Arabidopsis thaliana: one gene and its partners. Each later gene encodes a partner of the first gene's protein in a complex. Each region holds a gene or a part of one and is shown in the gene's direction. Other genes may lie near its edges.

Evidence for each region.
Region 2: AT3G09180 (region 1) and RFR1 share a complex: the UniProt entries of both Arabidopsis thaliana proteins name them as parts of the mediator complex.
Region 3: AT3G09180 (region 1) and MED9 share a complex: the UniProt entries of both Arabidopsis thaliana proteins name them as parts of the mediator complex.
Region 4: AT3G09180 (region 1) and PFT1 share a complex: the UniProt entries of both Arabidopsis thaliana proteins name them as parts of the mediator complex.

The regions. Positions count from the first base shown.
Region 1 is NC_003074.8:2,817,315-2,821,960, forward strand, and holds AT3G09180 (mediator of RNA polymerase II transcription subunit), read left to right. Parts: upstream 1-1,779; 5' UTR 1,780-1,963; coding exon 1,964-2,237; intron 2,238-2,331; coding exon 2,332-2,497; intron 2,498-2,669; coding exon 2,670-3,120; intron 3,121-3,210; coding exon 3,211-3,270; intron 3,271-3,353; coding exon 3,354-3,422; intron 3,423-3,515; coding exon 3,516-3,559; coding exon of another isoform or gene 3,560-3,578; exon of another isoform or gene 3,579-3,637; coding exon 3,638-3,782; 3' UTR 3,783-4,111; downstream 4,112-4,646. Other genes in the region: AT3G09190 (Concanavalin A-like lectin family protein), read right to left, coding at 4,336-4,646. UniProt on the Arabidopsis thaliana protein: Component of the Mediator complex, a coactivator involved in the regulated transcription of nearly all RNA polymerase II-dependent genes.
Region 2 is NC_003074.8:8,465,471-8,473,436, forward strand, and holds the start of RFR1 (REF4-related 1), read left to right. Parts: upstream 1-1,927; 5' UTR 1,928-2,167; coding exon 2,168-2,442; intron 2,443-2,615; coding exon 2,616-2,726; intron 2,727-2,901; coding exon 2,902-3,246; intron 3,247-3,411; coding exon 3,412-3,731; intron 3,732-3,829; coding exon 3,830-3,921; intron 3,922-4,217; coding exon 4,218-4,530; intron 4,531-4,677; coding exon 4,678-4,888; intron 4,889-5,199; coding exon 5,200-5,314; intron 5,315-5,407; coding exon 5,408-5,569; intron 5,570-5,656; coding exon 5,657-6,314; intron 6,315-6,502; coding exon 6,503-6,709; intron 6,710-6,878; coding exon 6,879-7,966. UniProt on the Arabidopsis thaliana protein: Component of the Mediator complex, a coactivator involved in the regulated transcription of nearly all RNA polymerase II-dependent genes.
Region 3 is NC_003070.9:20,552,371-20,555,857, reverse strand, and holds MED9 (mediator of RNA polymerase II transcription subunit-like protein), read left to right. Parts: upstream 1-1,603; 5' UTR 1,604-1,683; coding exon 1,684-2,157; intron 2,158-2,226; coding exon 2,227-2,289; intron 2,290-2,374; coding exon 2,375-2,455; coding exon of another isoform or gene 2,456-2,534; coding exon 2,535-2,593; intron 2,594-2,679; coding exon 2,680-2,737; 3' UTR 2,738-2,953; downstream 2,954-3,487. Other genes in the region: AT1G55090 (carbon-nitrogen hydrolase family protein), read right to left, coding at 36-259, 341-646, 808-1,001; AT1G55070 (F-box and associated interaction domains-containing protein), read right to left, coding at 3,225-3,487. UniProt on the Arabidopsis thaliana protein: Component of the Mediator complex, a coactivator involved in the regulated transcription of nearly all RNA polymerase II-dependent genes.
Region 4 is NC_003070.9:8,968,790-8,976,577, reverse strand, and holds PFT1 (phytochrome and flowering time regulatory protein (PFT1)), read left to right. Parts: upstream 1-1,762; 5' UTR 1,763-2,131; coding exon 2,132-2,235; intron 2,236-2,740; coding exon 2,741-2,771; intron 2,772-2,963; coding exon 2,964-3,027; intron 3,028-3,148; coding exon 3,149-3,279; intron 3,280-3,483; coding exon 3,484-3,687; intron 3,688-3,779; coding exon 3,780-3,845; intron 3,846-3,988; coding exon 3,989-4,205; intron 4,206-4,321; coding exon 4,322-4,389; intron 4,390-4,688; coding exon 4,689-5,486; intron 5,487-5,561; coding exon 5,562-5,615; intron 5,616-5,761; coding exon 5,762-5,790; intron 5,791-5,922; coding exon 5,923-5,991; intron 5,992-6,086; coding exon 6,087-6,171; intron 6,172-6,512; coding exon 6,513-6,599; intron 6,600-6,682; coding exon 6,683-7,186; 3' UTR 7,187-7,513; downstream 7,514-7,788. UniProt on the Arabidopsis thaliana protein: Component of the Mediator complex, a coactivator involved in the regulated transcription of nearly all RNA polymerase II-dependent genes.

The DNA.
Region 1 (4,646 bases):
TTCCCAACAATCCATTGTGAAGTAGGCTTTCTCTCTTTCCCAAATAATGCCTTGTAGAACCTCGTAGGATTCTGAACCGCTTTCATTTTCCCTCTTGTCCTTGCATCCTTTTTGTTGAATCCAGATTTGCTGCAGTTAAGCCCGGTAACAAGTGCAAAATCATCAATGGCAAATCGAATTGGCTTCCCTGCAAACACCCACCACATTTCATACTTCTTATCTGTCACCAACTGCCTAGATAGAATGTAATGTAAGAACATTACAGAAAACTGATGCGTCCCCATTTGCAACAGAAATCCAAACTGCGAACCCTCCAGCTGCTTCAAATGGTTTTGATCTAGAGCAGCCTTGATGATCTCAATCCACCTAAGAGTAAAGTAATTGTTTATCCTCTTTCGGCCCTCAGGTTCAGAACCTAGCCGAAACAAACGCTTTGGCAACTCTACATCCCCCATGGAACAGATACACTGAAATACAAATGTCCACGTATCACTTTTTTGATGCTGCTACTTACACAAATACAAAATATATAAATCTTAGATGTAAATATATGTTATTAACAGACTCAACCAATATAGCCTCAGCTTTCCGTTACTATCAACAACAACAAATGGATTACATAGAAGTTGAGTTAAATATTAAACCTTCATAACACCAATTAGTGGAATATCGGATTAACCAGCAAAGATTCACTAACTAAAGCTACTCAAATCCGAGTTTATGCTATTCAATACTGCAAATAAAACTAAAAATGTCATTAACACATACAACCAATTTGAGTAGCTTCCGTTACTATCAACAAACACAAATGGATTACATTGAAGTAGAGTTAAATCCTAAACCTTCATAACAATTACAAATGAATATCGTATTAACCAAGCAGATTCCCTACCTAAAGCTACTCAAATCCGAGTTTATGCTATTCAAGCTCTTCAACACAAATTAAAAAGATTTTCCCAAAAGCCAAAAAATGGCATTTCATACCTTAATTTGGCTGAATCCCTTCGCCGACACCAATTGCCACAGAAATTCGAGTGTTACAGTGGAGACGACGGAGATATAAACACCTCTACTCCCGTACAACAAAACTCACTCAAGTACTCTCAACGGAATCAAAAACCCTCGATTGAGAAAAGAGCCAACATAAGTGTTGTACGAAACTCGGATGCTTAGATAGGCTCCTCCTCCAATTGCAGAAGATTTATGCAGTCCGATTGCCAGAAATCGAAGCCTCCACAGTCCCCAAATCGAAACCCACAAATTCAATCTTCGTAAACTCTAGAATCGTCACTCGGATTGCACACGCAGTCTGCTCTTCGAAACTTTCCCGGGTGTCGCTTTTTAAAGCCCAGAATTTTCAGATTTTCTTACTGTAACTTCTCTGAATGTTCACCTCTATTTGAATTTTTACAGAGTAATACATAGAAGTTATCGATTGAAAACTCAGAAGAAGAAGAATAAGCGCGTGTGCTCACGCACGGGTTAAGTTTGTCAATATTGCATAAAGTTCAATACATATTGGTTGAAGTGTTAGTTTTGCAATTATAATTTTTTTGTTGGCTATATTTGCAAATTTCCCATTTTTTTACATGTACAAACTAAAAAAAAAAAAATATTAAAGTGAACAAACTGTACATATGGGCTAAAAACTAAAAGTCCCACAAACATTGAGATTACAAAATACATTTTCAGTCCAACATGAGCCATAAAGCATTGCTTAATGGAGTAAAACTCAATTTAACAGAGTGGAATAAATTAAACAAAATAAGACGTGAAGGAGCAGAAGCAAGCATATCAACAAAAACGCCTTTGAAACGCAAACGCTACAAAATTGCGTCTGGCGTTACAGTAGATTGAGATTTGAACGTGAAATTCTCCGAGTCCAGAAACATTCCTCTCCTTCCGTCGTCGTCAAGAAGATCAATTTCATTGAAATCGAAAGAGTGTGCTTGAATCACAGCTTATGCAGACGCTACACCAGTCCCAACTTCTCCAGAATCCGGCCGAGGCGGCGAACAATCAGTCTGAATCGGACGCGCCGCCGAAACAGGTGGCTCAGGCCATGGAACGACTCAATCAAGCGGCTAGGGTTATCGCCGATATCCGCCTCGGCGCTGACCGTATCCTTGAAGCTATGTTCGTGGCTTCGCAACCTCGTCACACAGACATGCCTCTTCAGCTCTTTCTCAGAGAAGACGCCTCCATGCGTCAACATCTTCAGGATCTTCGCTTAATAGGTGCTGAACCAAAACTGAATCATTTTCATTAGTATTGATTGATTCTCTAGATTAGGGCTTTTAAGGATCGATCAATGTTTATTGCTTGGTTCAGGGAAGAAATTGGAAGAATCTGGAGTGTTAACTGAATCACTTAGGTCAAGAAGTAACTCTTGGGGTCTTCACATGCCTTTGGTTTGTCCAGATGGTGCAGTCGTTGCTTATGCTTGGAAAAGACAGCTTGCTGGCCAAGCTGGTGCTTCTGCTGTTGATAGAACCAGGTATCAGATTCGTTGCTAATCATTTTAAAGCATACTTAGGGTTTAGGTTCGAGTCTGCATATTAGGGCTGTTAGTGAAGCTTGGTGGTACCAACTTGGAGTTTCATCAGCTAACCAATTCTACTGAATCTCATGCATTCTCCATTTTCTCGCGTTGTGTATAATGACTGTAGGTTAGCTCTCAAGGCCTTCACGGATCAGAAAAGACGATTCTTCCCTCATATTGATGATGGATTAAAGATGGAACCAAGCTCAAAAAAACATCGTGCCTCCCATTTGCTATTAGAAAATGGAAGAGAGGAGCCGGTTGATTACAAAACATTGCCAGATATACAATCGCGTTTAGAGAAGCTGGTTCCGAGTGTGAAGGTGTCTACTTATGGACGATTGAACTGGCTTAAAAGAGCTAACTCTTTACCTGGGTCAGGTAGTGATGATCCTACAGAAGCATCGAAACCTATTTTCCAGAGTTCTAGCAAGCTGAGATCAGGGTTACAGACTGAAGTTGTCGACAAGATTGCTGTTATTGAGTTATCATTTCCTTCTCTATTCAGAGCTATAGTCTCGTTGAGTCCAGCGGGTTCTGTTGATCCAGATGCAGTTGCTTTCTTCTCCCCAGATGAGGTCACTTCCAACCTCCTTGCATTAAAATATACTGATTCTCATGTGAAATTGTTTAAGTTCTCATGTTTTAGCTTCATCCCTTTCTTACAGGGAGGCAGCTACTTACATGCGAGAGGCTTCTCGGTTTATCATGTTTACAAACACATAACGGTAATAAAGATGCGATTGATATTATATATAGTTTAACAAATTTGATTCATTGGGGACTTGCATTAATTAGATTTTTCTTGCAGGAACATGCTGCTACAGCCTTGCAATATTTCCTCGGCTTTGGTACTGGAACAGCTCTCTACTCTCTTCTGGTAAAGCATTTTACAAGCACACTTCAGTCTCTGGATAACATGAACCTTTTTTGTCTGGAAGTTAATTAACACCTTTCTCTTCTTCTTATGCAGCTATGGATATGCAGTTTTGAATCCGTATTTAGCAAACCTTGCACGTATGCAGACTCTCCGTAATTCTTCTAATACATTTGTTTCCCGTGGACTAACTTTTCATTTCTCTTCTGATGATGCAGTAAATGTGGAAGGCTATTAGCAATGGATAAAAAGTCTGCGTTAATCTTACCTCCTTTACACCGCGCTTACCAAGAATTGCCTCTTGCATTAAACCTGGACGTTTGTGAAGCTTACCACTCCAGTTGCTCTCAAGATGATACCTAGTACTCTAGTGATTAGGGAGGATCAATTAAAAGAAAGGTTAGAAATAAGTTCTAATAACATTTTGTATGGATCTTTAGTATCTGCTCTTCTCCTTGATATACCTCTTGTTTGTTGTTGATGTCCCATGTTGAGGTTTAGATTAACTTTCTTTCTTTCTACTCTCTGGTAACATGTGAATGTTGTCTTCTTTCTAGAGATTTGATCTTTGTTCACGAGATGACTGAACAGAGACCTTTTTTTTTAACTCGGTTCACATTACTCTGTTGCAGTCAGCATCAAAGTGAGAAAAAGACAGTGGGTGTTGATTTTTGCTTCCGATCCAGAAATATAAAACATGTTAAATGCAAGATCAATAAATTAAGTTATTTTGCAAGATCAAATAAGCTTACGGCTTCTTTCATAGAGATTGTACATGTGAAACCTGCAACTAACGAAGCAAATAAAAGAAAACACTAAATAAAGATAACACCAGAGGAAGTGGAAGAAGGTACTACATTTACACTACAACAAGACAACCTTCTTAAACCAAAGCCAAAGCCAAACAAACTTCTCATTACTTCTTGCCATCTTTAACTGCAACGACCACAATGCTCACTGCACATTCCTCTGGAACCACGGCCATTGACCGCCTAACACTGCAAATAGTCCAAAGATACATAGCTGACATTGCCCCTACGGCTCCACATACTGCAGCCAAGACCAGAGCACCAAGCATTCTCCATATACACTCACTATTTTCTCGGCCCTCTTCCATTTCCGTGGAAACGTCCGGCTTCAAACCTTCATTTGGTCCTAATGGCGCTGGTTGCACCCATATCGGATCAAGATGCCATATTTCAAAGCTCCATGAATGGAGAAAATGTG
Region 2 (7,966 bases), 5.6 Mb from region 1:
CGTGTTCTTCAATTCACCAACTTCGTAGGTTCCGCATCTTTTGTACTTTCTTTCTATTTTTAATCTTGCAATATCAAAAATAAATATATACACCTTTTAAAAAAATTCTGAATATGCATATGGTAATGGTATCATCAGAAAACATTGAATATTGAATCGTCTATCTACCAATCTCTTCAAGTTGTGAATTTTATTTATCAAAAAAAAAAAAAAAATCAACTGAAACGTCAATGTTATGTTTTGCTTCAATCTAAAGAAAGTTGTACCAAAAATAAAGTACTTTTTTACCAAGAAATTTCGGATTGTAGCCAAAATATGTCTTGTTTTATTTTTTTTGTTCACCAAAAATATGTTAAACTAGTTTTTTGACTTTTTCCCCCATGCGTTGTTGTTGTTATTCGGACGACCAATATTTAATACAGTATTCAAGTGTAGCTAAGCTACTGATTCCAGATAAAGTAAAAAAATGTCTTTGATACCAACTTCACTTTGACCAATTATCGAACTCTTTAATTTCATAATATATAGCTTTGACAAATATCCCATCAGAATTCATAAATCGCCACATGAATCTTATAATTGTCAACTATGTGCAGTCCAATATTAATATCATGGAAAACTAGATTACTAGCATTTAATTTCTTAATTGTATTTAGGTTATAGACTTAACATGGTTTTTCTTCTAGAGCATTTTCACTACATTTTTTTCTTTCTATGTTATTATTTTATGTTTTACTTATTGTTACATCCATTTACAACGATGTTGGATAAAATATTTTTAACTGTTCAGTCCGTAAATGACTAGCTAAATTTTTACGGATATATTTTTACATAAAAAAAGAAATTATTTTTACGATTTACCAATTTAACTCTTCTTTCTCTCTAAGTTTTCATTTATTAAAAATGATAGTTTTTTTAAGAAAGTTATTTGTATTTATTTATTTAAAATTGGATGCAAAAAATTACAAAACTTGGAAGAAATATTGTTAACCCATCTTTATCAGTATAGAATTTCTGATTACTCCCTGCGTTGAAAATAAGAAGATCCATAGAACGTGGTAATGTTTTTTTTTTTTTTTTTCTGGCAAGAAATGGTAATGTTAATCAATTAGACTCATGACTAAAGCTGGAAAATTTGACTAAAATGGTATTATCTTGCATTATTACCTAAAAGCTCTTCTTGCATTACTCTTTCATGCAAAATTGCCTCCAAAAGTCATACTTCGAAATCATGGCTTTGTAACTCACCCTTGCCACCATCTATCTAAACTTATTATTGTTTAAAACAAAATTGATTTTCAAAGAAAAAAAAAATATAAACTCCCACCGGTCAATAACTTTTAATTTTCACTTCAATTATTCATAAAATAAATATATACACCTTGATTCTTTCTTAATAACTGGAGTTATTTTGAATTTAAATTACTTTTGAAATACAAAAGAAAGTAAGATAATTTTGCCATTTAAAATGTCTACAACAATTATGTTAACACTTAACATACATTTTTAGAACCAAATGGTAATGGTCCACTAGTTAAAAGATTTCTTATGAATGTCTTTTTATGCAGAGTTCGAATTTTCTCACAACGATTTTAACCATTTTCGTCACTCGCAAAATTTTTAGTGGATAACAAAAAAAAAAAAAAGTTGAAATTTAATGGAAATTTAGGAGATTTGTCCAATTTTTAATTTTCCCGATTAATTTAAAAAATCTACTTTACGCCTTTTATTGACAAAGATGCATATTAACTATATATATATATATATATATATATATATATATATATATATATTATAAACTAAATTTTGTAGAACCCATCAGAAGAAATTTGTACTTTTAACTTTAAAATCAATTAAAAAATTTCAATTCAAATAAAAAAAAATCCAAAATTGTTTATAAATTCAAGAAATATAACACACAAGTTGACATAAACAGTGGAGAGATTTGTGAAATGTGAACTCTTTTGACGTCTTTCTCATATTTCGTCTCGGGACAATTCACACGCACTGAATCATCTCTCTCACGAGGACTATTCAGCCATTTGCAAACGCACACACAAACGCACACGCGTTTATTTTTTTTTCGCCAAATCAAATCTGAAGAGTTCCTGTATCTTTTAACCGCTCTTCTTCTTCTTCAGAGAGCTTCGTTGATTGAACGGAAAAAATGGTGGTTCCTGGACGGAGAACCGTCTGGGATTGTGTGATTGAGCTGACAAAGATGGCTCAAGAGAACTGTGTCGATCCTCGTCTTTGGGCTTCTCAGTTATCATCGAATTTGAAATTCTTCGCCGTGGAGTTACCGTCGACGGAGCTTGCGGAGGTTATTGTTTCGTACATTTGTTGGGATAATAACGTTCCTATTGTTTGGAAGTTTCTTGAAAGAGCTATGGCTTTGAAGCTTGTTTCTCCTCTCGTTGTTCTTGCTCTTCTCGCTGACAGGTCTGGATTCATCGCTCATGGATTGTTTCCTTAGGGTTCTATGTGTTGATGATTTATTTCGTAATTTGGATTGTGAGTTGGTGAATTATAGTTTGGAAAATCTCTACGATTTTGTGATGGATCTTAGATTTGGTTTTATCTTATTGTAGTTCTATGTTTTCTGATTGTTGCAGAGTTGTTCCAACCCGGTCTACGCAACAAGCAGCTTATAGAATTTACTTGGAGCTGCTCAAGAGAAATATGTTCACCATTAAAGATCATATTAGTGGACCTCACTACCAGAAGTGAGTTTTTTTTTGTTGATACTTCTTACTTACTGTTTCATTCAAATGCTTGGCTCTGTAGGAAAAATGTTAGTAAATGTATGTTTCCATTAACATTGTACTCAGAAGTAGAATTAGAGAATACAAAATACTGTTTTGGCTTACTTGGTATTTATCTTCCTTCTTCTTTGTACAGGGTCATGATTTCAGTATCCAATATTCTTCGTCTTTCAGAGTTATTTGATCTGGACACAAGCAAACCTGGTGTGCTTTTAGTAGAGTTTGTTTTTAAGATGGTGTCACAATTGCTAGATGCAGCGTTAAGTGATGAAGGTTTGCTAGAGCTAAGCCAAGACTCGAGCTCCCAGTGGCTAGTTAAGTCTCAAGATATGGAAATTGATGCTCCTGAGAGATATAATGAAAAGACTGGATCACTAGAGAAGTTACAGAGTTTGAATACCATCATGGCTATTGAGTTGATAGCGGAATTCCTCAGAAATACAGTGATTGCGAGATTGCTATACTTGGTATCTTCCAACAGGTATGCATCATAGTTAACGAGAGTAAAGTTTTTTCAGTGGCATCATAGTTATGTTGTTCTTTGCATTGGCAGATATTTTGCTTAATCATGACCTGAATTTGACAAGTAATGTCTCTGTAGTAAAGTGTTTTTCTTTTAATCCATTTGCTATCCATTTCTTTTCAGGGCTTCGAAGTGGCATGAATTTGTCCAGAAAGTGCAGCTTCTTGGAGAAAATTCATCGGCTTTAAAACACTCAAAGGTTCTAAATTCTGGGGATCTATTACAATTGATTTCGAATAGACGATTTGGGTATTCTTATGATAGCAAAGTAACTTCAGCACGGAAATCCAATGCAATTGTGGATTTTGGATCTCTCTCTTCCTATGCTGGCTTATGCCATGGAGCAAGTCTCTCTTCACTTTGGCTTCCTCTTGATCTAGTATTTGAAGATGCAATGGATGGATATCAAGTAAACCCAACTAGTGCGATTGAAATCATTACCGGTAATTTGTAGACTCCATCTTCTTTCACTTGTGGCTTTGACCAAAGAAAAGATATCTCAAATATATAACGAAATGACTTGGGAGTATTAAATTTTCAGGTCTAGCTAAAACACTTAAAGAAATTAATGGGAGCACTTGGCATGACACTTTCTTGGGGCTTTGGATAGCAGCTCTCCGACTTGTTCAAAGGGTTAGATTACTCTCTTACTGATCTTTCTGTTTGTGATTTCACCACTACTTTGGTACCCAGAAAAGTGCAATTGCTATTGCTTGCAAGTTTTACTTACACCGTGTGCTTTTGTAATTGGTTCTGTTATTTGGTTATAATTCCCAAGACTTTTGTTACCTGCAGTTTCAGAGGACTTTCTTACACACTTTCTCTTGACTGAAGCTGTACTATTTGATTGTTACTCTGTCATCCATGATAAGTTTAGATTTTCCGTATCTAATGGCTGTTCTGATTTTCTCGTTTTTCTTTATTACTAGGAAAGGGATCCTATTGAGGGACCTATTCCTCGACTGGACACAAGGCTGTGCATGTCATTATGTATTGTGCCTCTTGTGGTCGCAAACCTTATTGAAGAGGGGAAATACGAATCTGTCATGGAAAAGCTGCGAGATGACCTTGTTACAAGTTTGCAGGTCCTCGGTGATTTCCCTGGATTGCTGGCTCCTCCCAAATGCGTTGTTTCTGCTGCCAACAAGGCTGCCACAAAGGCAATCTTGTTTTTGTCTGGTGGCAATGTTGGAAAGTCATGTTTTGATGTCATAAACATGAAGGACATGCCTGTCAACTGCTGTAAGTTTAATAAAATTTCGCTCTATTGAATTGAAGTTAAACCAATTTGTTTGTCTTCGTATTCTTCATTATTGTCGCTTGATTGTCTTCATTTGTTGATTTTATGGGCCTCTTTCGTGCCTAACATACTTTATGTACATGCCGTAGCTGGAAACATGCGCCACCTGATAGTCGAGGCTTGTATTGCAAGAAACATACTGGATATGTCGGCTTATTCGTGGCCTGGCTATGTTAATGGCCGAATCAACCAAATACCTCAGAGTCTGCCGAATGAAGTACCCTGCTGGTCATCATTTGTGAAAGGGGCTCCACTAAATGCCGCAATGGTGAATACATTAGTTTCAGTTCCTGCTTCAAGGTAGAATGAGTTATTATCTTCTTTTTGTTTCTTTTTGCTCTATTAGCTCCACACTACTTCATCCACATAGTCTTCCCTCCAAATCATACAGTCAGTGGTAATTTAAAATTACTATACAAAATTAAGCTACGGAGTTTCAAAGTCGTAACCTAAGGAAACCATTGCCACAATGAGAATAGTGGTTGCATTCTAGTTTGACTTAAGTTCTGCTTCTTCTTCAGTTATTCCTTTTTGTTTCTTAGCCAGGTAATGCTCTTTTTTTAATTTACCGAGAGTAAAGCAACTGAAATACCTCATGGATTTGATGGAAGCTTAGCAGAGCTCGAGAAACTATTTGAGGTTGCAGTCAAAGGATCGGATGACGAGAAGATATCTGCTGCTACAGTTCTTTGCGGGGCATCTCTCACACGGGGTTGGAACATACAGGTTGGCATTAAATCCACTAATCAGAATCTCCACCAGTGAGAATTTTCGGTTGAACAGACATGTTTGATTTATCTATCTTTCTTCGATGTACAGGAACACACTGTTGAATATCTTACAAGATTACTATCCCCACCCGTTCCAGCAGATTATTCCAGGGCTGAAAATCATTTGATTGGTTATGCCTGCATGTTGAATGTTGTTATTGTTGGGATAGGATCTGTTGACAGCATTCAAATTTTCTCTTTACATGGCATGGTATGTAAATTGTACTTCCAAGTTTACTAGACTTAATAGTGAATTTGCTGAAAGATGTAATGTACGATTTTGATGGCTACTTTTTAGGTTCCGCAACTTGCTTGCTCACTAATGCCAATTTGTGAAGAGTTTGGATCTTACACCCCGAGTGTATCATGGACTCTTCCTTCTGGAGAAGCAATATCAGCATATTCTGTTTTCTCAAATGCATTCACTCTTCTTTTAAAGCTATGGAGATTCAATCATCCTCCTATTGAGCATGGTGTGGGAGATGTTCCCACAGTTGGCTCCCAACTCACTCCTGAACATCTTCTTTCAGTGCGTAATTCTTATCTTGTTTCGTCGGAGATCCTTGATAGAGACCGAAACAGAAAGAGACTTTCAGAAGTTGCAAGGGCAGCATCTTGCCAGCCCGTGTTTGTGGACTCGTTCCCCAAGCTGAAAGTCTGGTATAGGCAGCACCAAAGATGCATAGCAGCCACATTATCTGGACTTACACATGGATCTCCCGTTCATCAGACAGTTGAAGCACTTCTCAACATGACGTTCGGAAAGGTCAGAGGCAGTCAGACTTTAAATCCAGTAAATTCGGGCACAAGCAGTTCATCAGGAGCTGCAAGTGAAGATAGCAATATTAGACCTGAGTTTCCTGCTTGGGATATCCTCAAAGCCGTTCCATATGTTGTCGATGCTGCTTTAACCGCTTGTACTCATGGAAGGCTTTCGCCTCGTCAGTTAGCTACAGGTTTGTTTTGTTTTGCTGGATCAGATTCCTAATTGTGTTGTCATGTGCGATAACATCCGTCTATATGACCTTTGGCAACTCTGAATGCCAATGAGAGATGTTTGACTGTGTTGATCAGTTGTTATATCAGATGCATTTCTTACAGTAAAGTGAATTTATTTACAGAATAACAAGTGTTTTTCTTTCAGGGCTGAAAGACTTAGCAGATTTTCTCCCGGCATCATTAGCAACGATAGTAAGCTATTTCTCAGCTGAGGTGAGTAGAGGTGTTTGGAAGCCAGTATTCATGAACGGCGTGGATTGGCCAAGTCCAGCTACAAATCTATCCACTGTTGAGGAATATATAACGAAAATTCTTGCAACAACAGGCGTCGATATCCCTAGCCTTGCTCCAGGTAAAACTATTCAACGTGTTTAAAATGCCAGTCTGTTTGTTTGGCTTACCATCTCTGTAGTCTGTACCATCCTCTCTTTATAATAAGCTTTTTACCTGTCCTGATTTGATGTGTTAAAGTTAAAGTTGTCTTTTGAACTTATGGTTGACTTCTTGCTGTGGTATTGCAGGAGGGAGTTCTCCGGCAACGCTTCCTTTACCTCTAGCCGCATTTGTTAGTCTAACCATTACTTACAAAATTGACAAAGCCTCAGAGCGGTTTCTCAACCTGGCTGGCCCAGCTCTGGAGTGCTTGGCTGCAGGCTGCCCTTGGCCTTGCATGCCCATTGTAGCTTCATTATGGACCCAAAAGGCGAAACGTTGGTTTGACTTCCTTGTTTTCTCTGCCTCTCGCACCGTCTTCCTTCACAACCAAGACGCTGTGATTCAGCTCCTCAGAAACTGCTTCAGTGCCACTCTGGGTTTGAATGCTGCCCCCATGTCAAATGATGGTGGCGTTGGAGCTCTTCTTGGCCATGGATTCGGCTCTCATTTCTATGGAGGGATCTCTCCTGTAGCACCAGGGATTCTTTATCTCCGTATGTATCGTGCTCTCAGAGATACTGTCTCCGTATCGGAAGAGATTCTCTCTCTGCTGATACATTCGGTGGAGGATATAGCCCAGAACAGGCTCTCAAAGGAGAAGCTGGAAAAGCTGAAGACAGTGAAGAACGGATCAAGATACGGCCAAAGTTCTCTAGCAACAGCAATGACTCAAGTGAAGCTTGCTGCTTCGCTGAGTGCCTCGTTGGTATGGCTAACCGGTGGCTTAGGTGTGGTCCACGTTCTCATCAAAGAAACGATCCCATCTTGGTTTCTATCAACTGACAAATCAGACCGAGAACAAGGACCATCGGATCTAGTTGCAGAGCTAAGAGGTCATGCCCTTGCCTACTTTGTGGTCCTATGTGGAGCACTTACTTGGGGCGTGGATTCAAGATCATCTGCATCCAAACGCCGCCGCCAAGCAATCTTGGGAAGCCACTTGGAGTTCATCGCGAGTGCCTTAGATGGGAAAATATCAGTGGGATGTGAAACAGCAACTTGGCGAACATATATTTCCGGTTTGGTGAGTCTAATGGTGAGCTGTTTGCCGCTCTGGGTGACAGAGATCGATACAGAAGTGTTAAAGAGTCTAAGCAATGGACTAAGAAAATGGGGAAAAGACGAGCTAGCGATTGTATTACTCTCCTTGGGAGGTCTCAAAACAATGGATTAC
Region 3 (3,487 bases), on another chromosome or scaffold:
ATACTTTCAATAATTTTAAGGGTTGTCAAACATACCGTAGTATAAGCGGCTACCATCGCATCCTTGTTGATTACTGTACATATACACCCCACCACGAGCATGAGTAGCCCCCATAAAAGCATTCAGACGAATATCTAGTTTCCTAAGTTGGTGATGACTCCCACTTGCATTCATAAATACTTCAACACCATTCAATGCGAGCTCGGCATGAGGAGGAAGTGGACTAAACAGTTCCTCACAGACTTCAGCTGCAACAGCCCTGATAAGGAAATATAACTGATACAGTTAAGCAGACAAAATCATTGACAGTGTTGAAATGGAAGCATTTATCCAAACTCACGTGTCGATAAACTGGATGTAACCATAACCAAAAGGGACTGATTTCTGCTCCAAAGCCTCTGAAATTTCAATGGGGAGCTGAAATTCCTCTAGCTCTTCTCTCTGCTTCCAAGCTGTGAACCACCGTAGCTCCCTATAGTTTCCATCGTTTGCGAGCCACATTTTCGGTCGAATCATGATGATTCTTCTGTTCATACAGAGAACCTGGCAGTTATAACGCTCTGCTCCTTTAATCACAGGCATTCCTATGCTGCACAAAATATCATCCGTCCAATCACCAAGCAGCAATTCCTTCAAACACTCCCACCTGAAAGAAGATATTCACATGAACATAAGAAGAAACGGTTAAACATGATTCCGATAACTAAATTCAGAAGAAAAAGAAATTAATTCCATCATCTAAAGTGATAGTACCAAGTCATTCATGCCATTCATCATCGAAATAGAAAACTAAAAATAGAAGCTTACGCATGAGTGACAGTGTCGAGTTCCAAGAAGTGATCCTCGCAACCATAGCCAGTGACCTCGAGCTCGGGTCCAAGCCTGATAACAGCACCAGCAGCCTTTGCCTCAGCGATCGAAGCCTTGATGTTCTTCATGTTGCTCTCGAAATCCATGGCCCATTGGTTCAAGTTACACGTAGCAACCTTCAACAGCCTCATCTTCGTCGCCTAAAGAGAAAGACAAGTAAATTTACTGTACATCAAGTAGTGTAAAAAATCTGACTTATCTAAGGCACAAACTTGTTCATGAGAACAGAAGCTGGTTAAATTAGTTAAAGGAACAAACTTTGTATTACTTTGCTAATACTAACAATTCAAATTCAATTTTAACAGCCATAATACACAATATCTGTAACGAAGAACTCGTCAACGCAACACTATTCGATGTGAATCAATTGCCAAAAGAAGAGAAGGAAGAATTGGAGCTTACGTGAATGTGCAAAGAAACCAAGTATCAAAGTCGTGAAATTCGGAGATCGTGAAAATTGAAAACTATGGGAGTTTGTATTTCTTTCAGATGTGAAATTCACAGACTCCAAGTGATTGTGCAGTGCTCGTGCAGAACAGATTGTGACCGACCAAGAAGAACATTCGGTTTGAGAGGAAGAAGAAGAAGAAGAGATTGATACTGAAACGACGGCGTTTTACGATTGTAAATTACAAACAAAACCTTAACTGAGAACAACTTCGTTTTATCATGACACGACATCATTTTTTTTTTTTTTTGGTCAAAACACGACATCGTTTAAGTTCCCACTTTTGTCTCTTCTTCGTTCTTTTAAGTTTTAATAGACGACGACGGCGACGAGAAGGAGAATTAGCGAGATCGGAAGGAGAAAAAATGGATCAATTCTCAGGAGGAGGAGGTAATTGGTCGATGATCCCAAACGTGCAGGCGCAAGGTAACTTCGGTACACCGACGAATCATGACCAGCAACTATTCCTCCAGCAACAACAATTACAACAACAACAACAACAACAACAACAACAACAGTTTCATCTTCAACAACAACAACAGACGCAGCAGCAACAACAACAATTCCAGCCACAACAACAACAAGAGATGCAACAATATCAGCAATTCCAACAACAGCAACACTTCATCCAACAACAGCAATTCCAACAACAACAACGGTTGTTACAATCTCCTCCTCTTCAGCCACAGTCGTTACAATCACCTCCGCCGCAACAGACGATGGTTCACACGCCTCAATCTATGATGCATACACCGCAGCAACAACAACAGTTGGTTCAAACTCCGGTGCAGACTCCTCAACAGCATCAGTCTTTAGCTTCTCATTTCCATCTCTATCCGGTAAGAGAAACAAAGAAAATTGATGAAATTGGAATCGTTGGGGGTTCTAATTTCGTGTTAATGACGCAGATGGTGGAGAAATTAGCTGATGTGATCGAAAATGGAACACGAGATCAGAATTCTGACGCCCTGGTTTGTTAAAAATCAAGTCTTTTAAAGTGGTTTTGAGATTTCTAGGGTTTCTTATTGGATGATGTTGAAATTGTGGGATTTGCAGGTGAATGAATTGAATAGCCATTTCGACAAGTGTCAACAGTTGCTGAATTCGATTTCAGGATCACTAGGATCTAAAACTATGGTAACATTTTGGATCTCTGTATTGGTTCTGTTTAATCTTTTGTTTCTTATGGATCTCTCTCTCTCTCTGTGTTTTATAGACTGTTGATGGCCAAAAGAGAAATGTTGAAGAAAGTGAGCAATTGCTTCAACAGAGAAGGTTAGCTAGATTGTTAGTATCATGTTTTATCTGATCAGATTGTGATCGTGCTCTTACTCTTTTGTTGTTAAATGTCTTCTGGTCAGGGATTTGATTGTGGAGTATAGGAAATCTATTGAAGAGATTGTGACAATGGAGCATTAGTTTCTCATATTTTGATTCAGCAACTGTTTAGCTACTTAAGACCAATAATTGTTATCAATAAACCAATCTTGATTCACATAATAAAGAGAATGTGGTTTTCTTCAAGAAAATTCATTCTTCGGATTACAAATAGATCACAATGCATAATGTGTTTTGTCTGCATCAAACCAAACCAAAATCTTTGTATGTGGGACATGCAACAGAAAGCTCAACCCAAAAACGATATAAGCCCAGGTAGTTGTTGAACATAGTGAGTGGTTTTGTGATTTAGATTCAGAACAGAGTAGAAAAAGCATTGTAGCGACCATGGAAAATTCAACCATTATTCCACAATGATCCTCCAAATATAAAACAAAACACCATTGAAGCCACATCTATTAGTCTTTTAAAAAGAAATAAAAACACCGACTTCTAATCTATCCCTACTCACTATTTTGAAATCATGATAATAGTCTTAAACAGGTAAAAAAAAAACCCAATAAAACACTCACGTAAGCTTCATATTCTCTAGATAGTTTGGAACAGCATGAAACAAAACCCGTTTAGAACCTTGAGATTCTGGAACTTCAACTCTTACTCTTACCACAATGTTCTCCTCGAGATTGTAGTAATAAAGGTAAAAAGGAACTTGTGGATCATAGTGATTTGGGCAGAATACAGCTTCACCTTTACTAGTAACTAAAAAGTTTACATCAATTCCATTGAACTCCGGCCATTGAAGGGGCTTTACGTAGATATGCTTTGACCATT
Region 4 (7,788 bases), on another chromosome or scaffold:
ACAGAGAAGAGTTTTGGATCTAAAATGAGAGAGAAAGGATAAAACTTTGACGTTTTTAAGTTGGAAGTTTTAAAGGGCAGAGAAAGAGGATTGGTGTCTAATCGAGGTCGGGCCGTCGCGTACCTAAAACCGAATCTTCTTGATGTTTAGATTTATTCGGATTTTACTTGGGAAAGGGTAGAATGGTAAATATAGGAATAGGCTGAGGTTTGTTTGATACAGGGAGAATATTCGGGGATATGTGGATTCCTTCCTTTCCATATTCTATCGAGCTGGCGATGATGTCAGCATTCTCATGACGTTGACGTTGAGATAAGAACGACGAGTCATTTTAGTCATTACTAACTCTTTCTTTTTTCTTCGGTTATTCTCTACCTATTTTAGAAATATACACATGAATTTTTTTGTAATAACAAACGAGTGAAGAAGAATATCCATAGAGATTGGAATCAAGATATGTAACCAGAAAATTTTAAACATTCATTAAATTTACAGTTTAGAATATATTATATGGTATCATATCATAAATTACATTTTTATCAGAAAAGAAAAAGATAAAGAAGTTTTTGGCAAAAGTGGAGGAATATTCCTCGAGAGTAGGGGAGAAACTAAGCTGGAAAAAAACATATTAAATTGGAAAAAATTGGGAAGGAGAGAATCTTTGGAAGAGTGACATTCACACATATCCAGATCCCCCCGTTTCCTCATGAATTGTTAAATTTTGGCCCTTCACGCTATCGAAGAGCCACCTGCCCCATATCACACCAACCTACTCGCCTCTTTTCACGCGCTTCATTGTGTGTTGTTGTGTTGTGATATATTCAAGCAATTCTCGTGAATACCTGACGATTCTAAATTGGTTGGCGACAAAAACACACACAAAAAAACACACACTATAAAACGGAATTAAGTGTCTAATTTTGAGTATGTATTCTTGAGAAAATTTCTCTAAATAGTTTGGAGATTGAGGTTTTTGTACTGTCTGCTACGGTTACCAAACTGTAGAAACTATTGTGTATCAATAATTAAATTTGGATTTTTAAGGACAATTGTAAAAGCTTATAACTAGGTGATGGATTGAGTTGTGGTAAAGTCAAATTGTTCGAGAGGTCGTAAACAGTGAGAAGCAATTTAAGGAAGATGATAATTATTCATTTGTGATGGTTTCTTTGAGTTATGGTCTTATGGATAATGTCCATGGATGTGAAGACCACCAACATTGTATTAGATAAAAAAAAACTACCACGTGAAAAGTAGTTGATTTTGGGTTCTCATGACTTCTCACAAACTCACGTTTCCATAGCATTGCATGGCAATTTACAATGTGTTGCCCCTCCCTTAGTACTACCAATACTACCATATGAACAACGATCGGGATCAGCAAAATCTATAGCTTTGTAGCCGTCTTCTATGACTCATCTCTTCCACAAAAAGTCATTGACATCAACTAGTCTAAGATGACTGACATACGAAATTGGATCCTATTTTCCACTAGGCCACTCTGAAAAGAAAAAAACACAGATAAAAAGGCCATGCGGCCCATGTCCAACTTTTGGACCAATCTTAAATGGCCTTCACAATGGTTATCATGGCCTTTATTTGATTCAAGTCTGGACTAACTACAACTATGTATACAAAATGTTTATCCACATAGCCCAAAATAAGATATCAAATTGGTTACTTTCATTTTTTTTTACGTGATCGACCTTAAGCTTGTTGTTAGTTTTGGCGTTCGATGAACCACCTCCAAACCAATTATATTCTTCACAAGATTCTCTGCATTTATCCCACAGATGGTAAACAATCTAATCAAATTAAATTCACTTCTTCACCAAAAAAAATAAAATTAAATTCATTGCCCAATTTACACAAATAAAAAGATAGTAACGACCAAGTCCTTTGTATATCCCATTTTCTATTCGGAGCATCCAAACCAAATTTTGTCAATCTAATTTATCTTCTCCTCTCCCGGAGAAGAAGGAAACTTACAATTTACAAAGAACGAGCTTCAATAAAAATTTCCAAAGAAATTACCGTCGGCGAATCGTTAGGCTCGAGAAGAATCACCAAATTCCAAGGGGAGAGAGACTGAATTTTCTTTTGATTCACGTAACAACAACGCTCAGAGACTATGTCGTCGGAGGTGAAACAGCTGATCGTCGTTGCTGAAGGCACCGCCGCTTTGGGTCCTTATTGGCAAACCATCGTCTCCGACTATCTCGAGAAAATCATCAGGTTTTTCTTTTTATGAACCTTGTATCTCTTTTAATCCTCGTTATTTGATTTTCATTCGGAGTTAGGGTTTAGCTGATACCGTTCGAATCAGGCTTTAATTTCAATTGGTTAGATCAAACCTTTGTTTATCCTCTGATTCCACAATGTTTTGTTGTTCGTTGTTAGTACTGTGTTTATGTATTTGATTGTTCTGTGTTTCATATTGAGCAATCACTTTACGTTACCTTATGGTTCCTACATTCTTTTTTTGTGTTAGGACATTGTTTTCGATACAACGCATTCATAAAGCAATGAATTTGTAGTTTCTCACTTCGATCACGTAAAATTGATATTAATATGTGATTACAGAGAATTTAGTATATAATTGCCTGTATAGTTTGTAACTAATCACATTGTTGGCTATTCTTAATATCCACTCAACATAGTATTGTATTTCAAAGTAGCGTTTTTGTATGTTAAAATTTCAATTACATAATCTGTCTATGCATTCTTTGCATTTGTCCAGGTCTTTCTGTGGCAGTGAGTTAAATGGAGAGGTACTATATCTGACTTATCCTCGTTTTTAAGTTTACTCAAGTTTTCATTCTTGAGCAAACAGTTAATCAATGTTTTTGACCAAACTCATATACATTCGTTATCTGTCAAATCATTGCGACACAAAAAATAACAGAGCAAATTGGTAGTTTGATGTGTCTGATCGAGTCTTTATATATTCACTAAACTTGCAGAGGAACCCTGTTTCTACTGTTGAGCTATCACTGGTGATCTTCAATTCTCATGGTTCATATTGTGGTACGTGTTGTGCTTCATCTTGTGATATCCAAATACAAATATTATTTGGGTGCTTTCTCATGGCCCTGGTTACATTAGCTTTTGTTTTAGTAATGTTGTTCTTATCTTTCATTCTTCTTAGCTTGCTTGGTACAACGGAGTGGCTGGACAAGGGATGTTGATATTTTCTTGCATTGGCTTTCTTCCATACAATTTGGTGGTGGTGGTTTCAATGAGGTTGCCACAGCTGAAGGGCTTGCCGAAGCATTGATGGTGGGAAACTTGATCTCTTTTCATCTGTGACACAACTATAAGACATATGTTTGGGCCACTTTCTTTCAAGCTACTTTTGACTAATTTACTTTCTCAATAAAATTAACTTTTTTCTTTCCATGGCTTCATTTTATGTGGTGGTGCTTCTGTCAGCGATTTTCTCGATCCTTAAACCTCACAATTTTCTCTGACTTCATGACACAGATGTTTTCTCCTCCTTCAGGCCAAGCTCAACCAAGTAACGATCTGAAAAGACACTGTATCCTAATCACAGCCAGCAATCCTCACATATTGCCAACACCTGTATATCGTCCACGATTGCAAAATGTGGAACGGAATGAGAATGGTGATGCGCAAGCTGAGAGTCGATTATCAGATGCTGAGACAGTGGCTTCATATTTTGCTAAGGTACTTTTTTTAACTGATTCCCCCAGGTATTACAACTAGCTATAATTACTCCTTTTAATGGGAAATTACTAACCTGCCATATTGGTGTGCAGTGTTCTGTTTCTTTGTCTGTTGTATGTCCAAAGCAGCTTCCAACAATTAGAGCACTATACAATGCGGTGAGACTGCGTGTCTATTTGCTATTCACTAGATGTACATCTATCAAAAGTCTTTCTTTTGTCAGACAGCTCTTTCAAAGGCTGTCTTTATTCTCAATGCTATAAACTGGTGTAATCTTTGTTTTATACTGTTTTAAATGCAGGGAAAGCCCAATCAACAAAGTGCGGACTTGTCAATTGACACGGCTAAGAACACATTCTATCTTGTCCTGATCTCGGAGAATTTTGTGGAGGCATGTGCTGCCTTAAGTCATTCTGCTACAAATTTGCCACAGACTCAGAGCCCTGTGAAAGTGGACAGGGCCACTGTTGCTCCATCTATTCCAGTCACTGGGCAACCTCCAGCTCCTGTGTCATCAGGTTCTTCTACTGACAACATCCATTTTTCTTAGTCCAACTATCTTGATTTTTCTTTGTGCTTCTTTGGATTCTATCCTGCTTCTCTATATGAAGATCTCTTTTTGTATGATTTTCAGCCAATGGACCTATTCAGAATCGGCAACCAGTTTCTGTTGGACCAGTTCCAACTGCTACTGTGAAAGTTGTAAGTCTATTTGATCTTTTTAGTCAGTTGGAGGAGTCAGCTCTATCTATTGGCAACCGACTCTTGTATGTTTTATAAGAATTATTTACTAGATATTAGCCGAAAATGAATTGTAAATTTATTCTCTGGTGCTTGATAAGACATTACAAATTTTTATGTGTTAATCAACTAGATTTAATGTTAAGTTCATATGAATATCCCATTTGTGAAATAATATTGTATACTCAATCAGCTTATTAGATAGCATATCTTCACATTAGTAGAAGCCTGTTAATCAGATTTTTGGAATGAAATTGCAGGAGCCTAGCACCGTAACTTCTATGGCACCAGTTCCTAGTTTTCCCCATATCCCGGCTGTAGCTCGGCCTGCTACACAAGCAATTCCTTCGATTCAAACATCTTCAGCATCACCAGTTTCTCAGGATATGGTCAGCAACGCCGAGAATGCACCAGATATTAAGCCTGTGGTGGTCAGTGGAATGACGCCACCATTGCGTACTGGTCCTCCTGGTGGAGCCAATGTAAATCTGCTTAATAATCTTTCTCAAGTCCGACAAGTCATGAGCTCTGCAGCTCTGGCAGGTGCAGCCTCATCGGTTGGGCAAAGTGCGGTTGCAATGCATATGTCAAATATGATATCAACAGGAATGGCTACATCTTTGCCTCCTTCACAAACTGTGTTTTCAACTGGACAGCAGGGAATTACTTCAATGGCTGGTTCGGGTGCACTAATGGGATCTGCACAAACGGGACAAAGCCCGGGTCCTAATAATGCCTTTAGTCCTCAAACAACGTCAAATGTCGCTTCAAACCTTGGTGTTTCACAACCAATGCAAGGGATGAACCAAGGAAGTCATTCTGGAGCAATGATGCAAGGTGGAATTTCCATGAACCAAAACATGATGAGTGGTCTTGGTCAAGGAAATGTCTCCTCTGGAACAGGTGGAATGATGCCTACTCCAGGAGTTGGCCAACAAGCGCAATCAGGAATACAACAACTTGGTGGCAGTAACAGCTCAGCTCCTAATATGCAGCTATCACAGCCATCATCGGGGGCTATGCAGACTTCACAATCCAAATATGTGAAAGTCTGGGAGGTAATGTCAGTTTATCTTGTCTAAAATAACGGTGATCTTGTGCTAACTTTTACTTACATTTTCAAATTCATGCAGGGAAATTTATCTGGGCAAAGGCAAGGGCAGCCTGTTCTTATCACCAGACTTGAGGTGTGTTTAGGGGCACTTACTATGCACTTTTCTTTCCCCTTTTCTGAATTTACTGGGATCACATGCTTAAGCACATCTTCCTCTGTAGAACTTTGTTGAATTGTTCCAAGTAGATATTAACTAACGTCTTTGTTTATATTTGACAGGGTTACCGAAGTGCTTCTGCCTCTGATTCGTAAGTTTATAACTAATTGAAATATGAAAACTGCTTCCTTACTAAACCTTGTCAGGAGAGCAGTCGACTCCTTAAGAAATGATTGTAGCTGCTAAACTAATTTTTGCTTTCTCTTTTTGTGCATCTCCCCAGGTTGGCAGCAAACTGGCCACCAACTATGCAGATTGTTCGTCTCATATCCCAGGACCATATGAATAACAAGTAATATCTTCGTGCTATATCCTTCCTTATTCCAAATGGCTCATGGGTGGATGTTGATTTCATGCCACTAAATATTTCACCTGACTTTGCATCAGGCAATATGTTGGCAAAGCTGACTTCCTTGTGTTTCGGGCCATGAGTCAACATGGGTTCTTAGGACAACTTCAGGATAAAAAGCTTGTGAGTATTGTTGATAATTTATGCCACTTGTCTCCTTTTCCTTATTGTTTCACTACAAATTTAATAACAAAATGATGAATGGTGTTTACTGGTTTATTAGATATTAGGATGAATTAGATGTTAAGAATGAAAATCTTTGAAAAAATATATGTACTTACATCTGTAAACATGTTCTCGGTGAATCTATCAATCTCTTGCTATGTTCACCATACACTTAACGATGCCTACGCTTGTATGTAGCCTTGTTTTGATTAGCCTAATCGTGTGCCATACTATTGTCATTTTCACGCTTAGCTTTTGTGGAGTTGTATATGATAACTTTGTCATCCTCCGTATTGCAGTGTGCAGTCATCCAGTTGCCATCACAGACGCTTCTTCTCTCTGTCTCTGACAAGGCTTGCCGCTTGATTGGAATGCTTTTCCCAGGGGTAAGGAAGTACTAAGTTTAAGGTGTCTATATATGTTTTGCTTCACATTAGTGACTCTTGAGGGTTGTTTTGTTTACTCCTAGGATATGGTTGTGTTTAAACCACAAATTCCAAATCAGCAACAGCAGCAGCAACAACAACTCCACCAGCAACAACAACAACAACAGCAGATCCAGCAGCAGCAGCAACAACAACAACACCTCCAACAGCAACAGATGCCACAACTCCAGCAACAACAACAACAACACCAGCAGCAACAGCAACAGCAGCATCAATTGTCACAGCTCCAACATCATCAGCAGCAACAACAACAACAGCAGCAACAACAGCAGCAGCATCAATTGACACAGCTTCAACACCATCATCAGCAGCAGCAGCAGGCGTCGCCGCTGAATCAGATGCAGCAGCAGACTTCGCCGCTCAATCAGATGCAGCAACAGACTTCGCCTCTGAATCAGATGCAGCAGCAACAGCAGCCTCAACAGATGGTAATGGGTGGTCAAGCTTTTGCACAAGCCCCTGGAAGATCACAACAAGGTGGTGGTGGAGGGCAGCCTAACATGCCTGGAGCTGGCTTCATGGGATAAATAAAAATATCAGCTTCAGTGCTAATTAATTAGATTTATCATAACTTAACATTCTTTCTTTCTTCTTTGGTCAACTCGATCGTCGCCATGGTTTTAGACTCTGTTTAGTTGTCCTTTCTGTTCTTTTGAGCCTGAAAATGGCATGTCCTATTCTGTATGGGTCTGACCATTTAGCTACGGCACCAAACTATTTTGTCATTTTCTTAAGATAAATAGAAAAAAAGTGGATGATTTCTATTTTGTTGGTGTTTCTATATGCTGATAATAACTTGTTATCTAGCTTTTTATTTGATTGACAAGGAAATAAAGGATCAAACCCATTTCATAGTTGGGTCATGATTGGACTTTGTGTTTTATTTGCAGGTAAGAAATATACATTTCTATTAGAAAAGGTTTATGGTTGATAGTTAAACAAACTTATCTAAATATACCATTTCCAACTGCATATTGCATCAGAGAATTACTTGCTCAAAATTACATCATTGACAAACTAGGATTTTTTAAATCTTTTAAGTTTAAATTATCATCATAAATCAAATTTCATTTTGAAAACCAAGAAAATAGAAACCCGTAAACCTTACACAAAAATGCTTCTCATGTTG